2 linked regions of the Macaca fascicularis genome follow. The protein of the gene in region 1 purifies or fractionates together with the protein of each later gene. This does not show direct contact. Links are inferred from orthologs where the notes say so. Each region holds a gene or a part of one and is shown on either strand. Other genes may lie near its edges. The genes, in order: GP6 and LYN.

Region 1 (4,289 bases):
GTATTTTTAGTAGAGATGGGGTTTCACCATGTTAACCAGGCTGGTCTCGAACTCCTGATCTCAAGTGATCCACCCGCCTCAGCCTCCCAAAGTGCTGGGATTACAGGCGTGAGCCTGGCCGGGCGCGGTGGCTCAAGCCTGTAATCCCAGCACTTTGGGAGGCCGAGGCGGGTGGATCACGAGGTCAGGAGATCGAGACTATCCTGGCTAACATGGTGAAACCCCGTCTCTACTAAAAATACAAAAAACTAGCCGGGCGTGGTGGCGGGCGCCTGTAGTCTCAGCTACTTGGGAGGCTGAGGCGGGAGAATGGCGTGAACCCGGGAGGCGGAGCTTGCAGTGAGCCGAGATCACATGCCACTGCACTCCAGCCTGGGCGACAGAGCGAGACTCCGTCTCAAAAAAAAAAAATAAACAAAAAAAAAAAAAATAAATAAAATACAGGCGTGAGCCACCGCGCCCGGCTGATTTTTATTCTTTTAATGAAGGTTGGTTGATGTTACCTTGTCTGTATATACCGCACGTTGTTTATCCATTGTTGTTGATGAATATTTGGCTGGTTTCACCTCTTGGCTATTGTGAATAAAGCTGCTAGGAACACTGGTGTACAAATATGTTCGAGATCCTGTTTTCGATTCTTTTAGGTGTATACGCAGAAGTGGAATTGCTGGATTTTACGGCAATCCCACGTTTAACTTTTGGAGGAGCTGCTAAAACTGTTTTCCACAGCAGTGGCACCATGTTATGTCCCCGCCAGCAAGGCACGCGCAGTCCAACTTCTCTGCATACTCACCAACGTTTGCTGTTTTCCATTAAAAAAAATTATAGCTGGTCGGGCGCAGTGGCTCATGCCTGTAATCCCAGCCCTTTGGGAGGCCAATGTGGGCGGATCACCTGAAGTTCGGAGTTCAAGACCAGCCTGGCCAATGTGGTGAAACCCCATCTCTACTAAAAATACAAAAATTAGCCCAGCGTGGTGGTGCACACCTATAACCCCAGCCACTTGGGAGGCTGAGGCCGGAGAATCACTTGAACCAAGGAGGTGGAGGTTGTAGTGGGCCGAGATGGCGCCACTGCACTCCAGCCTGGGCAAAAAGAGCGAGACTCTGTCTGGGAAAAAAAAAAAAAAAAAATTATAGCCATCCCAGAAGTTGTGAAGTCATATCTCACTGTGGTTTTGATGAGTATTTTCCTAGCGACATCAGGGAGTTTATGGGAGCACGGGAACACAGGCCAGGCCCCAGCAGGCGGACGAACGGTGCAACGCCAGGCTGGCCAGAGGAGATAAGCGCGGCTCCTTGGAGCTTGTGTGCAAGTCACTGTCCTGGGGAGCCGGCTACGGCTCGATGAGTCTCAATTAGGAAAGGCCGGGGCTGGCGGAGGAAGGGAGGAGAGCATTCTTCATCCTCATCACATCCTGAGCCCGTGCCCAGGCTCCCACCACTTCCCTCCCGGGCCACAGAACCCAGGACAGGGCTGAGGAACCATGTCTCCATCCCCGACCACCCTCTTCTGTCTCGGTGAGTCCTGAGGGTCGATCTGGGAAGTGCTGAAAGACAGGCCTAGACTGCCAGACAAAGGATTTTTTAAGAAATTTGCATCGGTGATGAATTTCAGGACAAAAAGGGACCTATGAGAGCCCCTTCATTGGTTGGGTGGGGAAGCGGAGGGCCAGCGAGGTGGTGTATTTTGCCTGAGTTATTCCAGTGTATTCGTGGCTGGGTCAGGAAATGAACAGAGGTGTCCTAGCATTGGTCACAACTTTGTTCTACGACACTGCAGTTGCCCCTTTTTAAATAACTGTGGGCCAGGCACGGTGGCTCATGCCTGTAATCTCAACTTTGGGAGGCCAAGGTGGGTGGATCACCTGAGGTCAGGAGTTCACGACCAGCCTGGCCAACATGGCGAAACCCCGTCTCTACAAAAATTAGCCGGGCATGACGGGGCGGTGCCTGTAATCCCAGCTACTCGAGAGGCTGAGGTGGGAGAATTGCTTGAAACCGGGAGGCAGAAGTTGCAGTGAGCTGAGGTCAGGCATTGCACTCCAGCCTGGGCAACAGAGAGAGACTCCGTCTCAAAAAACCGCTGAGTGCCGTGGCTCACGCACTTTGGGAGACCGAGGCGGACGGATCACCTGAGGTTGGGAGTTGGAGACCAGCCTGACCAACATGGAGAAACCCCATCTCTACTGAAAATACAAAATTATCTGGGCGTGGTGGCGCATGCCTGTAATCCCAGCTACTCTGGAGGCTGAGGCAGGAGAATCGCTTGAATCTGGGAGGCGGAGGTTGCAGTGAGCCGAGATCACGCCATTACACTCCGGCCTGGGCAACAAGAGCAAAACTCCATCTCAAAAAAACAAACAAAAATTGTGGACTTGATGATATCTGGACTAGGTTATGGATTTAATTTGTCAGTATCCCCTACAGCAGTGGAGTAAATAAGAGTCTCCTGACCGATGGGTGGCAGGTCGAATGCATTTCCACTGCCTGCTCTTCACTTGTGCTGGGCATGTCGAATGCATTGTTTCCTGATTTCTTCAGGAGAATTTGACCACTAAAGGGACAGCATCTCCAAAAGGCTAAGCAGGAAGGAGATGGTTGTGTTACTGGAGATGAGAGGGTTAACTGTGAATATAAACAACCTCTCATTCATTATCCATCCACGGATGTATTCTTTAACTTTTTTTTTTTTTTTTTTTTTGAGATGGAGTCTCACTCTGTTGGTTGCTCAGGCTGGAGTGCAGTGGCACGATCTTGGCTCACTGCAAACTCTGCCTCCTGGGTCCAAGTGATTCTCCTGCTTCAGCCTCCGAAGTAGCTGGGATTACAGGCATCCACCGCCAGGTCCGGCTAATTTTTATATTTTTAGTAGAGACGGGGTTTCACCATGTTGACCAGGCTGGACTTGAACTCCTGACTTCAGGTGATCTACCCGCCTCGGCCTCCCAAAGTGCTGGGGTTACAGGCGTGAGCCACCGCATCCGGCCTGTTTTAACTTTTATTTATTTAATTTTACTTGAGACAGGGCCTCACTTCTGTCACCCAGGCTGGAGTGCAGTGGCATGATCATGGCTCACTCTAGCCTCAACCTCCCAGGCTCAACCAATCCTTCCCCATCAGTCTCCTGAGTAGCTGGAACTACAGTTGCACACCATCATGCCTGGCTCATTTTTGTAATTTTTGTAGTTATGGGGTCTCACTATGCTGCCCAGGCTGGTCTCGAACTCTTGGGTTCAAGCGATCCACCTACCTCGGCCTCCCACAGTGTTGGGGTTACAGGTTTGACCTGTACAGGTTACTGCATCTGGCTTAATTTTTGCTTCAATTGCTTTTGGGATACAAGTGGTTGTTGGTTACATGGATGAACTATATAGTGGTGAATTCTGAGATTTTAGTGCCCCTGTCACTTGAGTAGTATACCTTGTACCTAATGTGTAGTTTTTCATCCCTACCCACCTTCTGCCCTTCTCTTCTGAGTCTCTGAAGTCCATTACATCACCCTGTATGCCTTTGCATACCCACAGCTTAGCTCTCACTTGTAAGTGAGAACATACAGATTTTTGTTTTCCACTCCTGTGTTACTTTACTTAGAATAATGTCTCCAGCTACATCCAAGTTGCTGCAAGACATTTTTTTTTTTTTGAGCTGGAATCTCGCTGTTGCCGAGACTGGAGTACAGCAGCGTGATCTTGGCTCACTGCAACCTCCTCCTCCCGGGTTCAAGCAATTCTCCTGCCTCAGCCTCCCGAGTAGCTGGGACTACAGGCGCCGTCACCACGCCCGGCTAATTTTTGTATTTTTAGTAGAGACGGGTTTCACCATGTTAGCCAGGATGGTCTTGATCTCTTGACCTCATGATCCACCCGCCTCGGCCTCCCAGAGTGCTGGCATTACAGGTGTGAGCCACTGTGCCTGGCCAAAGGACATTATTTTGTTCCTTTTAATGGCTGAGTAGTATTCCACACTCATTTATTTTTACTTATTTTTTGACACAGAGTCTCACTCTGTCGCCCAGGCTGGAGTGCAGTGGTGTGATGTCAGCTCACTGCAACCTCCATCTCCCAGGTTCAAGTGATTCTCCTGCCTCAGCCTCCTGAGTAGCTGGGATTACAGGCTCCTACCACTACGCCCAGCTTATTTTTGTACTTTTACTAGAGACAGGGCTTCCCATGTTGGTCAGGCTGGTCTTTAACTCCTGACTTCAGGTGATCCACCCGCCTTGGCTTCCCAAAATGCTGGGATTACAGGTGTGAGCCACTGCGCCTGGCCAGTGAGAACTTTAAAACC
Region 2 (4,255 bases), on another chromosome or scaffold:
TTTTTTTTTCTTTTTCTTTTTTTTTTTTTTTTTTTTTTTTTCATTTTTCCATTTTTCTCCATAGGATTCTTGACAGGTTTCAATCACACACCTTCCCATGGGTAACCCACCCCTTCTCTTCAGCAGTAAACTAACGACTACCTACCAGTGAACATCACAGGTATAAACCACCTTTCTTTTTTTCTTTTAAGGAATTAGTATGCAAACTTTAGTACTCCTTTCCTAGTAACAAATGACTGCTGTATCAGACTGTGTCACAAGGCAGCTGCTTTGACTTATTGCTCTGTAGCTGGGGCCAGCCTCTTCAGAACATTGTTAATGAGAGAAAGGAAGTGCTTTGGGCAGTGTCTGGCCCATCAGGCCCTCTGTAAATGTTTGCTATTAATGCAAAGACCAAGTCTCCCACAGTGTCCAATTTGTTTCCTTGTAAATTTTTCAAGGTACTGCAATGCTGGGATCCCAGTGAACATAATCTGGCGTAGAAGTGGGTATCCACTGACCGAGCCTAATCTTACATCTTGGATTTGTAAGTGGCATTTATTGAGTTGAACATGAGCTTAAGCACGCGGTCACACATTCTTTCAGCGAACACTGGTCAGGCACCTGCTACGTGCAAGCACTGCCCTACATGCTGGGATGCAGCTGTAGCAGGAATGAAATAACGCCAGCATTCCTGCATGCGGCCAGTGCGTGCCCTGTACAGAAAGGTACACGAGATAGGCATCCTTACATCCATTGTCCTGGGAGGAAACTGAGGCTTTGAGAAACGGAGAATCTGCCGGGCCCGTTGACTCCATGTCATCCCCTTCCACATCAATGCCCTGAACAGCCTCCTGTACACCCTTAAGGAACTTACTTCGTAATGATTACTAAGAACTCAACGAGACCCCGAGCATCACCTCGGCATATCGCGCGCGTCCTTTCTCTAGAGAACCCCAAATGTTGGAAGGCATCAGAGCGCACCTCCTCCGCTCCCGGGAGCACCCCCTTCCTGACACCTTGGGGATGGGTCGGAAGGAAAGGAAAGGAGACGCGAGAGGTATCGTCGATGTGCCTGCGAAGCCCAGGCTCCTCCGGAGATCGTTCCGTCCGTCCCTACAGTAGAAGGCTGGCCCAGGCTGTTCCACTCCCCGGAGCTGCCGACTGAGTCGCCAGGTTTCTGTGCCTTCAAAGCCCTGCGCGACGGCCACACCAAACACCCAAACCTTGGGCAGGGACCAAACGGTCACTTCCCCGCCCTCCGGGCTCAATATGCAAATCCGAGCACCAGGAAGTAGCTGGGACCTCTCGACCGAGCCCAGAGACAGCCAGTTCCTCTCCCGCCGCGCCGGGCCGCGCTGCCGCTCGCTCCCCGGCCGTGGCGCCTCCGGGCCCGACGCGCTGCAGCCTCCAGCCCGCGGCAAGCGGGGCGGCCGCGCCAACCCCGGCCCCGCGCCAGCAGCCCCTCGCCGCGCGTCCCGCGTTCCCGGCCAGCAGCCTCCCCCTACGCAGGTCCTGCTGGGCCGCCCCGTCGCGCCCCCTGCTCTGAACTCAAGTCACCGTGGAGCTCCGCCACCCCGAAACTTTCACCGCGAGCGGGTGAGTCCTCTGCGCGAACCCAAGTGTGGGCGCGGGCGCGCGGGCACGCGGGCCGGGGGTGCAGGGACCGCGGCTGTGCCACTAGCCAGAGTCCCGGGCGCAGGGTCGACTCGGGGCCAGGGGCATCGGCGCGGCCCGCGGCGGCTTCCTGGCCGCACAGCCTCCGGGCCTCGGCGGCGAAGGCTCTCAGATGTCTTCAGCCGGCGGGCGACCGGCCCCGGGGGAGCCAGGGTGCGGGGACCGAGGCTCCGCAGGTGTCAGCGGCTGAGCCGCGCAGGGGAGCGGTGGGAGGTGCGGGCGCGGGGGCGGGCTCACCGCGGGTCCTTCCCGGCGAGGGCCCGAGGGCCGGCTGCTGTCCCCGCTCCGGCCGCTCAGCGCGCACGGCGGCGAAGCCCGTGCCCTTGCGGAGCGGGCGCGCGGCAGGGATACTGGAGACAACTCCTCGGATTGTGCGATCTGGTCTCCCCTCTGGACCCTGGGTCCCCTGGAAGTGGGAGATGGGGCTCCGCCGGCGCCCTCTCGAGGCCCGCGGACAGCTGCCCTCCCTGGTGGCCCGGGGCAGGAGCGTGACGTCGAGGGTCTGCGGCGGAGGCTGGAGCTCACCCTCCCGCTGCGGCGCCTTTCGGCCTGCGGAGGAGCAGTCCGGTGCTTTTGCCGGCTGAGAGGAAGCGAGAGTTATTTTAAGAATTCAGGGGTTGCCTTTCCTTCGCCTTGGGGGAAGGGCGTAAGAGTCACTTCCCACTTTCCTGCTTTCTCTGGGCCCATGGTGGCATCTTTTGCTTGCGGTGCATTCGTAACTTTCCAACAGCCTGCCTGTCGTGTGAACTAGTGGTTGTATCTTCATTTCTTTGTATAACCGTGTGTGTTAATTATCCCAAATTCGCCCTTCTTCGCCGGCTCAGAATCCAGGCCTTGCACTTTTCTGGCTGTATATTTAGGGGACCGATTATTGAAATTCCCTGTTTGGGTTTCTTCATCTTTGAGAAAGCATATATACCTCAGGGACTGTTTAGTACACACAGAGCCCCTAGTACATACCAAACATTTCATAAACGATGTTACTGTTATTTATTGCAGTGACTTCTATTCATATAAACGAGGCTTCTTGGTTCTTTGCAGCCTGGTGATATTGAACCTAAGACTACCATGTCTGATTTAGCCATCTGACCTTATTAGTAAATCTGCTTAATAAATACATGAGGGATTTGCTGTCCCAAAGCAGGGCCCAGTAGTCTGACTTGCCCTAAAGAACTAGCCAATAAACTGGTGGGCTACAGGGATGTTTTCTCTCTACAGCCAACACCTAAAGCCATGCCCTGGGGAATAGGCACTGCAAGAGCCTAGACCTTACTAAGCCCTTCTCTGTAAGAGTAAGCTTTGTTGGGAAAGGGTGGGATCCAGTTAGTCCCTCCATTCTCATTTGGAGGTAAGCAGGTAAGTGCTTTCAGGCCTGAAGAAATTTCATTAGATCATAGAGTCTTTGGTGACTGGGTCTCTTTGGATGTAAATGTGTGGCCCTTTTGCTGAGTGAAGGATAGAGGGCAGCAGATGTAAGGGGAGAGAAAATAGGAGCGAGGAAACTTGGGTTTTGGCCTCTTCCATCATTTAATATGCTGTGATTTGGGATAAACCACTTGGGTCATTTATTTAGCCAACATTTCCTTTATAGCAGCAGTCAGAGTTATATTGATTTGTCTGCAGGTTGATAGTCTGTATTCACTATTACAGTGGAAGCTCCATGAAAACCGCTTCATCTGTCTTGTCCAAAATGATAGCCCCAGTGCCTGGTACATAGTAGGTGCTCAGTTCGAGATTAGTTGGAAGAAGGAATGAAGGGCTCCTGTGAGCTTGCCCTATGTAAAACTGAGGACATAGGGAGATGAAGAAATAGAGCTGGTCCCTAAAGTGTTTGAAGCCTACTGGCCCTTTCTGTTGTGGTTTCTAAAACGGGGATTTGAGAGGCTTTGTTGATTGTAAAGTTACCCAGCACTGAGTTATCCACATTTAGTGTTCTAAATGAGTCTCCACTCAGCACCGCTCTTCTCTACTTATCACTGGAAGAGAAGTCTTGATGTGGGGTGGTTAAGATGTTTCCTGCAAAGGTAGTTGGCCCAATCCAGAAGGCCCACATTATTTTAGAGTCATTGGTGTTACCAAGGTAGGTGGAAACTTTGTAATCCCGCCCCGGCCCCACCCCTCCAATAGCTTTCTTTTAGCAGAAAAGTGGTCCAGCACTGTTCAATGACTTTGAAAGCCTTTTACTTCTATCTGTAGTATTTGTTTTTAGAAATAAATCACCAAAAACAGCTGAGATTCCAGTTGGTTCACATGACTATGTGGAGTTGTAACTTAACAAAATTAAATCATATTATTCATGTACAAACCCATACTAACTTTATAAATAAGGATACAATGTATACATGCCCACAGCAGGGAACGTCGTTATAAGCTCACTCCTACTGATGATCTCAGTGATGCATGGATGAGTGTTAACATTGAAAGGCCACCACAATCATTAGTCAGGACATTGATCAATGTCATGTTGACAGCAGAGATAGCCTCAGACCTTTTCTGGCTCTTCCTAGCGATGATGGTGAAAGTGTTAGCACCTTTCATTAGTTCAGGGCTCTGAAGTCTTCCTGAACTCGAATTTCATTTGAACCTCTTGTGGCTCCTA

What was found.
Region 2: the proteins of GP6 (region 1) and LYN purify together in Homo sapiens (affinity purification with western blotting; 5 studies listed by BioGRID and IntAct, with this or other methods). This does not show direct contact. The link is inferred for Macaca fascicularis from reciprocal best matches to the Homo sapiens genes GP6 and LYN.

Annotation. Positions count from the first base shown.
Region 1 is NC_088393.1:62,910,633-62,914,921, reverse strand, and holds the start of GP6 (platelet glycoprotein VI), read left to right. Parts: upstream 1-1,442; 5' UTR 1,443-1,486; coding exon 1,487-1,520; intron 1,521-4,289.
Region 2 is NC_088382.1:65,848,399-65,852,653, forward strand, and holds the start of LYN (tyrosine-protein kinase Lyn), read left to right. Parts: upstream 1-1,248; 5' UTR 1,249-1,251; coding exon 1,252-1,578; intron 1,579-4,255. UniProt on the Homo sapiens protein: Non-receptor tyrosine-protein kinase that transmits signals from cell surface receptors and plays an important role in the regulation of innate and adaptive immune responses, hematopoiesis, responses to growth factors and cytokines, integrin signaling, but also responses to DNA damage and genotoxic agents.